Xenopus tropicalis: one gene and its partner. The protein of the gene in region 1 binds, or shares a complex with, the protein of each later gene. Links are inferred from orthologs where the notes say so. Each region holds a gene or a part of one and is shown on either strand. Other genes may lie near its edges.

Region 1 (4,507 bases):
TCTATTGCATTGCTTGTAGGCTAAAGGTGGCCATAAACAGAAAGAGTTAAGATGGCCATACACGGGGCAATTCTAGCTGCCGATATTGGTCCCTTAGACCGATTCGGCAGCTTATCGACCCGTGTATGGGCACTAATGACGGGCCTGCCCAACCAACATCTGGCCTGAAATCAGCCAGTCGGATCAGGGACCACATCGGCTCGATGCAGTCCCAGAACCGACTGACCCCCTATACCCGTCATTCTAATTCGATCGTTTGGCCCCAGGGCCAAACAATCGAATTAGCCCGCTATCACCCACCCATAGGTGGGGATATTGGGAGAAGATCCGCTCGCTTGGCAACCTTGCCAAGTGACTGGATCTTAGCGTGTATGGCCACCTTTAAGCTGCTGATTAAGGCCCTTCAGACCAATTCAGAAGTCTTTCTGCCCATGTATTGGACCCTCCGACAGGCCTACCCGACCGATTTCCCATCACTTCAATAACTCGTATTCCCCTATGGCCAAACAATCGTTCTAGGCTGTCAGGGAAAAGATCAGCTTTTTTGGCAATCTCGCCAAACAAGCAGATCTTCTTGTGTACGGCCAGCTTTGGAAAGCTTAGCAACGACTTAGTGAATACATTACAGAATCACTGGAAACACACTGTACTAAGTGGGATGCAATATTCTGTCTAACTGATCTAGTCCCATGACAGCTGCAGTATCTCCGCTTGTTTAGGGTTCAGCCTCACGACTTTTAGGGCTCTGGCACACGGGGAGATTAGTCGCCCGCGGCAAAACTCCCTGTTTGCGGGCGACTAATCTCCCCGAGTTGCCTACCCCTGCCATCCCACCGGCGAACATGTAAGTCGCCGGCAGGATGGCAGACGCGGCGGGGCGATTTCAGGAGTCTTTTTCGGCGATTTGCGCGAAATCGCGCCGCCGTGTCTGCCATCCCGCTGGCGACTTACATGTTCGCCGGTGGGATGGCATCTTTTTCATCTCTACTAAACTCCAGCAAATACCCTGCCATAGACAATACTGAGAATTGCCTTTGTAAAGCACACATAGAGACAATTATCAGTAAATAATCAGCATTGTCTATTTCAGTAGCCATGACAAGTAGCTGCTACTAGTAGCTCTGAGTGTCTTCACCCTTAATGATGACACAATCAAAAGGACTTTTTGCTACTATTAGGGCTCTGGCACACGGGAAGATTAGTCGCCCGCGACAAAACTCCCTGTTCACAGCGACTAATCTCCCTGGATTGCCATCCCACCACCGAAAATGTAAATCGCCGGTGGGATGGCATGCGCGGCGGCACGATTTCAATGAAATCACGCAAGTTGCTTCGAGAGGAAACTTGCGACCGCGTATGCCATCCCACCGGCGATTTACATCCCCGGTGGGATGGCATTTGGGGGAGATTAGTCGCCCGAGACACAGTCCCGGGCGACTAGTCTCCCCGTGTGCCAGAGCCCTTGTTGAGACAATTTACTTCAAAAGTCACACTATCACTTTATTCACAAACCTAGTTTGTTACAAGGGTACCAAGTTCCCACAGCACCCATTAGGGTGAAGACACACAGATCTACTAGTAGCAGCTACTTGTCATGGCTACTAAAACAGACAATGCTGATCATTTACTGATAATTGTCTCTACGTGTGTTTTAGCAGAGGCAATTCTCTGTATTGTCTATGGCAGGGGATTTTCTGGTGTTTGGTAGCTGTGACAAGTAGCTGCTACTAAGTAGCTCTGTGTGTCTTCGCCCTTAAGGTGCCCATACACTATAAGATCCTCTTCACCCGATAACCCCACCTACGGGTGGGCGATATCAGGTAGCAAGTAACTTAAAAAAAAATAATCCGATCATTTGGCCCTGGGGCCAAACGATCGGATTACATTTGTGGTTATGGGGCAATCGGTTCGGGGACCGCATCAACGAGCCGATGCAGTCCCCGATCAGACTGGATTTTCTAACCTGGCCGATCGAGATCTGGCCAATTTCAGGCCAGATATCGGTCGGCCAGGCCGCTCTGTTCTGCCCATACACGGGCCGATCAGCTGCCGAATCGGTCCAAGGGACCAATATCGGCAGCTATAGTCGGCCCGTGTATGGGGGCCTTTAGACAGACAGACGTGCATCTGTGCAGGGACAAGTGATTTATCATCTGTACGAGCATTCTGCACTCTGATGGATATGTAACTATAGGGGCCCCTGTTTATTGGCTGTTGGGGACATCACAGCAGTTGGTTTGATAGGGGCTGCTGGGAAGAGTAGTTGAACACTACAAGCCAATACTTACTGGACTTTCCTCCTGTTCCTGCTCTGGTGCAACTCCCACAGGTTGAGCTCCAACTGCCCCAGGAACTTGTCCATCCCCACCAGGGCTCGGTGCATAACTATAACTCTCACGGTGCAGCGCTCCTGGTTATCATTGTGTAACAGGGGCACTTCGAAGGTGGCCTCCTCCTTCCACACGGGAGCCTGGCTCTTCTCGGCCACAGTGGTGGAGTACTTCTCTTTGCCCAGCTGGATGATGGCGTACGCATCGTTGCTGCCCGCTTTGCCTTTGGGCTTCAAGCCTTTAGCCTGTAATACGGTTACCTGGACGTGAGTAGGGAACCAGGTCTGGGACTGCTGAGCTAGAGACATCTTTGCCGGCGGTGCGCTGCCTTCACCTGCAGTACTTTACTTCACTATATGAGGAAATGGGGCGGTACCGACGAAATATAAACTAGTGAATACGTAGGCGGTGCTCCCATGAGACTCGGCCTCTCGTTCGCGGAGGGGTAAGTGTGAGAGGCAGTCCGCCGCCTACCAACGTTGCTTAGGAACTTTTTGCTCCACCGTCAAACTGTTTGGCACACGGTGACCAATAGGAGCGAAGCTGAGTTGCATACTTTTTTTTTTTATATAATTTTTAGGGCCGCCTCTGGCACCAGGACCCGCCCACAAACAGGTGTAATACAGAAACGAGTCTTGGAACGCAGGCCAGGTTCTCACGAAGTATTGGCTTGTACCTATGAGCTGGGTGATAATATATGTTGGTACATATTGCAGTCTCTTAAATAGGAATACTTACCTACTGGTAAAAATATAATTTTATATTAGAGCTCACTGTCGAAAGTAATTCTGTTCAATCCTATGAGATTTTTAGAAGAGTTTTTATCAGAGGGGAAGTAACGCGTCTGAAAATCCCATAGGAAGGAGTGAGCTGTAATTTCACACTTTGATAAGTCTGCACTTTGCTTATATATGATTATAAATACTGTACCAAGAAAATTTGTGTAGGGACCCATAGGGTTAATGTCGCTATGGCTTTAAACCCTACAACTTTCCTTCAGCTCGCCATACACGCAACCGATGATATCGCACGAAATGGCCAATGGTCACACAAAAGATCGAAAATCGCCACGTTTGTGGCCACCTTTAGTCTGTGCTGTTACTGGGCAAAGACCCATGTATCAGTTTATAGTTTTGCATATGTGTCTTATTGGCACTCTGATATAGTCTTAGCAGGGGAGTGGGTCTTCCTCTTTGGCTGCATCTGCTGACCCTGGTGGAAGTTACACTGAGCCTGGGATCAACAGGGCCCCAGTAAAGCCTTCTACCCTAGAGGCTGCATCTAGCTCTAGTGATGTCGGGGACAGGGACCCTGTGAATGAGGAGTAGGGAGTATCAGGATAATTTATAAAGAGCACTTTCTAGGAGTGAGATAGTGAGATTAGTTAGAAAGAGCAGTTTCGGCTCCAACCAGGAGAGATTAGCTGGAAGTATTCTTCCCTACAGGCATTGTTGCCTTAGAGCAGGGCCACAGTTAAGACGCAGGTACCATTTCAGTTCCTATCTCTGATCCATAGTTAGCTGTGAGGGATCATTGGCTGCTAAGGGACACCCTGAGGATACAGATACTGGGCCAGGCTACTCTCCACAGGGAGGTAGTGCTGGTTGGTGGTCCTTACCTTCCCCACCCTCGGCCGATGTGGGCTATACGGGTGGACACCATATTTTTCTACCTTCTGTGCAATTGCCTGATATCTCCTCTGTGTGAGTATTGCTATAACCCTGTGAATTATTTTCTTGGACAATAAACAAGTTACACTTTGGTTTACCACAAAGAACCTTCTGGCACCCATTTGTTTTTCTGCACTGCACACAGCTACAGTGAGTTGTAGTTGCATTACACCGTAGCTCAATTGGTCACTTCCATATAGCGAAGGCCCATCCTGAAGGATTGAGTCGTATGTACCCCATGCTCTAAATCTACACTAGCCGTGCTGTTGGCTTGATTACAGCCGAAAAGGGGTTACATGTGTTTTTACATAAATTCCCAAAACAATTGATCACAGCAATGTACTTGCTGGTAAATTTGTAATATTTAGTCAATCTGCACCCCGGCCTGCAACCATTCTGTCCCTTTCTGCTCCCACACTCACTGAACCTCATTTTGATTTAGTGCTTGATGACCTGTCTCTACCTCTTTGATGTCACAATTCTACTAAGTGACCTCACTGCCACTGT
Region 2 (4,320 bases), on another chromosome or scaffold:
CAGCCCCTCTGGCATTTGCCAGAACCCACAGATTGCCAGTCCGGGCCTGCCGGTACCTGGTTATGAGCCCTGTATAAAGACTGTTCCAATGAGTAGGGGCTAGAACCAAAAAGATGTCTAGCAACTACTTCCCTATACCCCCCTTAGCCCTAAGCGTAAGAACCCATGGAGTGGTTGAGTCGCCCGCGATAGATCTCTACAAAAGGTTTCCCATCAGCAACAATAGAAGTCACCGGTGTAAAGCCCTTCACATCGATTCGGTAATCCGAAGCCGCGGGTGACTTAACCGCTCCGTGGGTTCTTACCCTAACACTGCAATTTTTGGTACCGTTAGTCAAGTACAAATTGGCGGAGCTATTTCACGTTACCACGTTAGTCTATATGAAATGAAGGCCAGCTGTGGTTGGCCAATTTTATCGGTAAGGTTCTGCAGCCAGTGGTGTAACTCGATGTTACTGGGCCCCAAAACATTGGTAAATTGACCTTTTCACCAAGTTATATAAAAATTGCTCATTATTAGGGCTTTACGGGGTCCTCTGCACTCCTGGGCCCCCCTGCAACCGCAGGGTCTGCTTCTTCCATAGTTACGCCCCTGTCTGCAGCAGCCATGGTGGGTTTTTTTTACCACAGAATGTTAGGATGAGCATCAATCCCAGAATTCCCTGGGCTGACTTGGGTCTGTAATGAGGAGCAAAAGGGCTTGTACTGGATTCCCAAGAGGTTCTGAAGCAGTTAATAGAGTACTGTAGGTTCTAACCACAGAATACTACAGCAAGAGGTTGCATTAGTTTCCTCCACAAAAGAAGTGCAAGCTCTTGGACGTGTTGTGAGGCAACATGGCAGGCCTTGTGTCTGTACAGAGTAAGTCTTGCAAGGGCACCTTTATTACCACACAATATTAGGATAACATAACTCTCTAATCTAAAAGTGTATATAAAGCAATGGGACCTGTTTATGTACAAGATGGGACATATTTTTACCACAGAAAAGCAAACTATGCGCCCTGACACCATTTCAGGCGCTGTGACGTTTCCAGTAACTAAGGCAGGCGCGCCCCCGCCGCTTCCCCACGTCACCATTTCTCCGCAACACGTGACCCCACCCCGCCCCGTACCCCTGCGTGAAATGAAGCGCGCTCCCGGGCGCGCCCCCCGCCCCGCTGGCCCCACCCCTCTGTCTCTTCCCGTCGGCCCGTGACGGCTGTTCCGGGAAACCCCGTGCAATCGCCGCCGCCATCTTGGAGTGAGGGGAAGAAACCCCGAGCAGCCAGGGTAACCGCACTGAGAAGGAAGGGGGGAGCCAGAGAGCGGCTTCCGGAGGGTGACAGGAATACTCACACACACAGGGAGCCGGCAGCACGGAAGGGAGGGGCTGTCACACCGAACCCGCCCAGGCTCCGCACCGTCCGACACCGCTCCCACTCAGGTAAGCCTCCGGGGGAACCGGCACCTTTATCCGCCCATACCCGGGCCCTCACCTTTATCCGCCCATACCCGGGCCCTCACCTTTATCCGCCCATACCCGGGCCCTCACCTTTATCCGCCCATACCCGGGCCCTCACCTTTATCCGCCCATACCCGGGCCCTCACCTTTATCCGCCCATACCCGGGCCCTCACCTTTATCCGCCCATACCCGGGCCCTCACCTTTATCCGCCCATACCCGGGCCCTCACCTTTATCCGCCCATACCCGGGCCCTCACCTTTATCCGCCCATACCCGGGCCCTCACCTTTATCCGCCCATACCCGGGCCCTCACCTTTATCCGCCCATACCCGGGCCCTCACTCACCCCCTGGGCTGTGTTTCCCTGACACCCCGGCTGCACCCCCCCCCCCCCATTGCTCCTTTCTGCCCCTTGTCATCCCTACAGCCTGTGTCTGTCTGCGCCTGTCAGTGCCCCCCTGCCTGGCTGTAACTGCCCCTGCCTGGCTGTAACTGCCCCTGCCTGGCTGTAACTGCCCCTGCCTGGCTGTAACTGCCCCTGCCTGGCTGTAACTGCCCCTGCCTGCGTCCCACTGCACTCTCCATCTCTCATTGCACCAGTCTGTTTGTAATTGCCCCAGTGTGCCCTTACTTGCCCCATTCTATTCACATTTGCCTCTGCCATCATCCTGGTCTTGGTCTTAATACCCCTACCATCACCCTATTGCCCCTGCCTGCACACATCTACCCCTTGCCCTCCTCTGCCATCTCCCCACTGAACCCATCCCTCTGCACCCCCCCATCCCTCTGCACCCCCCCATCCCTCTGCACCCCCCCATCCCTCTGCACCCCCCCATCCCTCTGCACCCCCCCATCCCTCTGAACCCCCCCATCCCTCTGCACCATTAGTTACTCTTCCTCCTATCATTGTATCCTAGGCACAGTACTGCCCCTGCCTACTCACCCCATATAACCCTCTGCCCCCCTACTGCCCCTGCCTACTCACCCCATATAACCCTCTGCCCCCCTACTGCCCCTGCCGCAACCCACCTTATCCTCTGCCCCCCTACTGCCCCTGCCTCACCCCACATAACCCTCTGCACCCCTGTTGCCCCATCTCACCCCTTATTATCCTCTGCCCCCCTACTGCCCCTGCCTCACCCCATCTTATCCTCTGCCCCTGCTGGTAGTACTCAGTGCAGCCAGGTACCCCTGCTCCCCCCCAGAGCAGTGTCCCCTTGCAGCTCAGCACCCCGCCATTCCAGTTTACACCCCTGGGATCCCTCATTATCCACTTGCAGTATCATCTCTCTGTGTGCCCCCTACTACCCCTTTTGTCTCCCTTCTGCCCCCCCATGGGGCCATTTGTCCCATGCTGCAGTACAGCCGGGCCCTGCCGCCTCATTGTGCCAGAGCTTGGGGCAGGTGATGCCCATACACGCGGGCAGGGAGGGGTTTGTTGCCATTGCCTCGCTGGCCCAGTTCTTGGGATCCCTGCACTGCACAGCTATTGTGTAAGCAAGGCCTCCTCGGTACATCCCCCCCCCCTCCCTCCCGTAGCCATTCCACCCTCCGTATCATCGCTCCCCCATTCTCTGGGGGTGATTCAGCCTTACTCCCCCTGTATGTAGGTCCTGCAGCCCCCCTCCCTTCCCCCGAATATCCCCTTGTGATTGGGTGCAGGCCGGGCCCCATGCAGGCTGTATCTGTATATAGCAGTCTGTGTCAGTGCTAGCCCTATTGTACACGCCGCAGGATTACAGGAGCCCTGGGGATCTCGGAGAGAGGGGTTGGCAGATTCCGGAAGAACCAGATCCCGTGACCCTTCTCTTGTTTATTCTCCCAGTGCTAGCCGGCTAGTGTCAGGCCTGGTCGGGCTTTGGCCTCTCGTCTGTCACCGGCCTTATTTATCTACTGTGTTATTTTCCAGCCATTGTCCTGCCTCTGATATTAACCCTTTGTGCCCCCGCAGGTTTAACCCTTTATAGCAGCCTTTGTAGTCCCTTTGTTGTTGTGCAGATGAATGTGATGCTTTAGGGATTCCCTGCAAAGCACCCTCGGCAGTTGTTTGTGTCAGAAGCAGAATATTTGTCTCCGATTCACCTCACGTCATTGGCAATGTTACCGATTTGGAATAATAATACACATAAATCTGTTTATAAGGGATGCTTGCTCTAATGAGCTTACCTTATCCTCAAAGGCATTAAAAACAGTGACCTCTGGTGGACAGATTTGCATGAAAACTCTGCTTTTATTGAGCAAAAACCTTTGGGCAAAGCATCTTTTGGTCCCTGGGGTACCACTGGGGCATTTCGGAACCATGTAAACCCATAGGTACTAGTAATTACCATTGGGTTGTTCTGGTCTTGATGGGTTGCATAGGGGCCTTCAGTGTTAGATTTGTTGGGCGGGAGGTTACGAGAGAGTGTCGTGGCAGATCTATCTGTTAAAGTTACATTTAAAGGGGAAGTCTGACTTTCAGTCACTTTTTCTGGTTGTTTACATGCACTATAGTGTTCCCACTGATACATTAACACCTGCCTTTCCTCTAATGTTGCTGAGAAACGTAACTACTTTATTTAGGAAATTGGAACAGATCGGAGGGTCTGCCTCCTGACGTAAACGGCTACGAGGAAGCGCCGGAGGGATGAAACGAAAGCTAAATTGCTTTTAAATTGGATACATTGTAAACAATAATAATAGAAACAAACTGAGATATGTCACTGTTTCTACAGTTCTGCTAGAATGGGAAGTACCTTAATTTGCTTATAGGTATATGGTTATAGATATTTTTGTGCAAAAGGAATTGCAGTATAATGTACTGTTGCCCTGCACTGGTACAGCTGGGGTGTTTGCTACGCAAACCCTACTATAGAACACCTCAGCTGTACCAGTGCA

What was found.
Region 2: the proteins of rab11fip1 (region 1) and rab14 are in contact, whole or in part, in a crystal structure (PDB 4D0G), measured with the Homo sapiens proteins. The link is inferred for Xenopus tropicalis from reciprocal best matches to the Homo sapiens genes RAB11FIP1 and RAB14. Residues at the interface, in NP_001002814.2 of Homo sapiens: Glu1252, Ile1255, Asp1256, Asn1257, Leu1259, Val1260, Met1263, Pro1267, Asn1268, Leu1270, Arg1271, Ile1272; in NP_057406.2 of Homo sapiens: Leu28, His29, Ile44, Gly45, Val46, Glu47, Phe48, Gly49, Trp65, Arg72, Arg74, Ala75, Val76, Ser79, Tyr80.

Annotation. Positions count from the first base shown.
Region 1 is NC_030679.2:118,972,812-118,977,318, reverse strand, and holds the start of rab11fip1 (rab11 family-interacting protein 1), read right to left. Parts: upstream 2,870-4,507; 5' UTR 2,639-2,869; coding exon 2,289-2,638; intron 1-2,288. UniProt on the Homo sapiens protein: A Rab11 effector protein involved in the endosomal recycling process. Also involved in controlling membrane trafficking along the phagocytic pathway and in phagocytosis. Interaction with RAB14 may function in the process of neurite formation.
Region 2 is NC_030684.2:9,741,716-9,746,035, forward strand, and holds the start of rab14 (ras-related protein Rab-14), read left to right. Parts: upstream 1-1,252; 5' UTR 1,253-1,425; intron 1,426-4,320.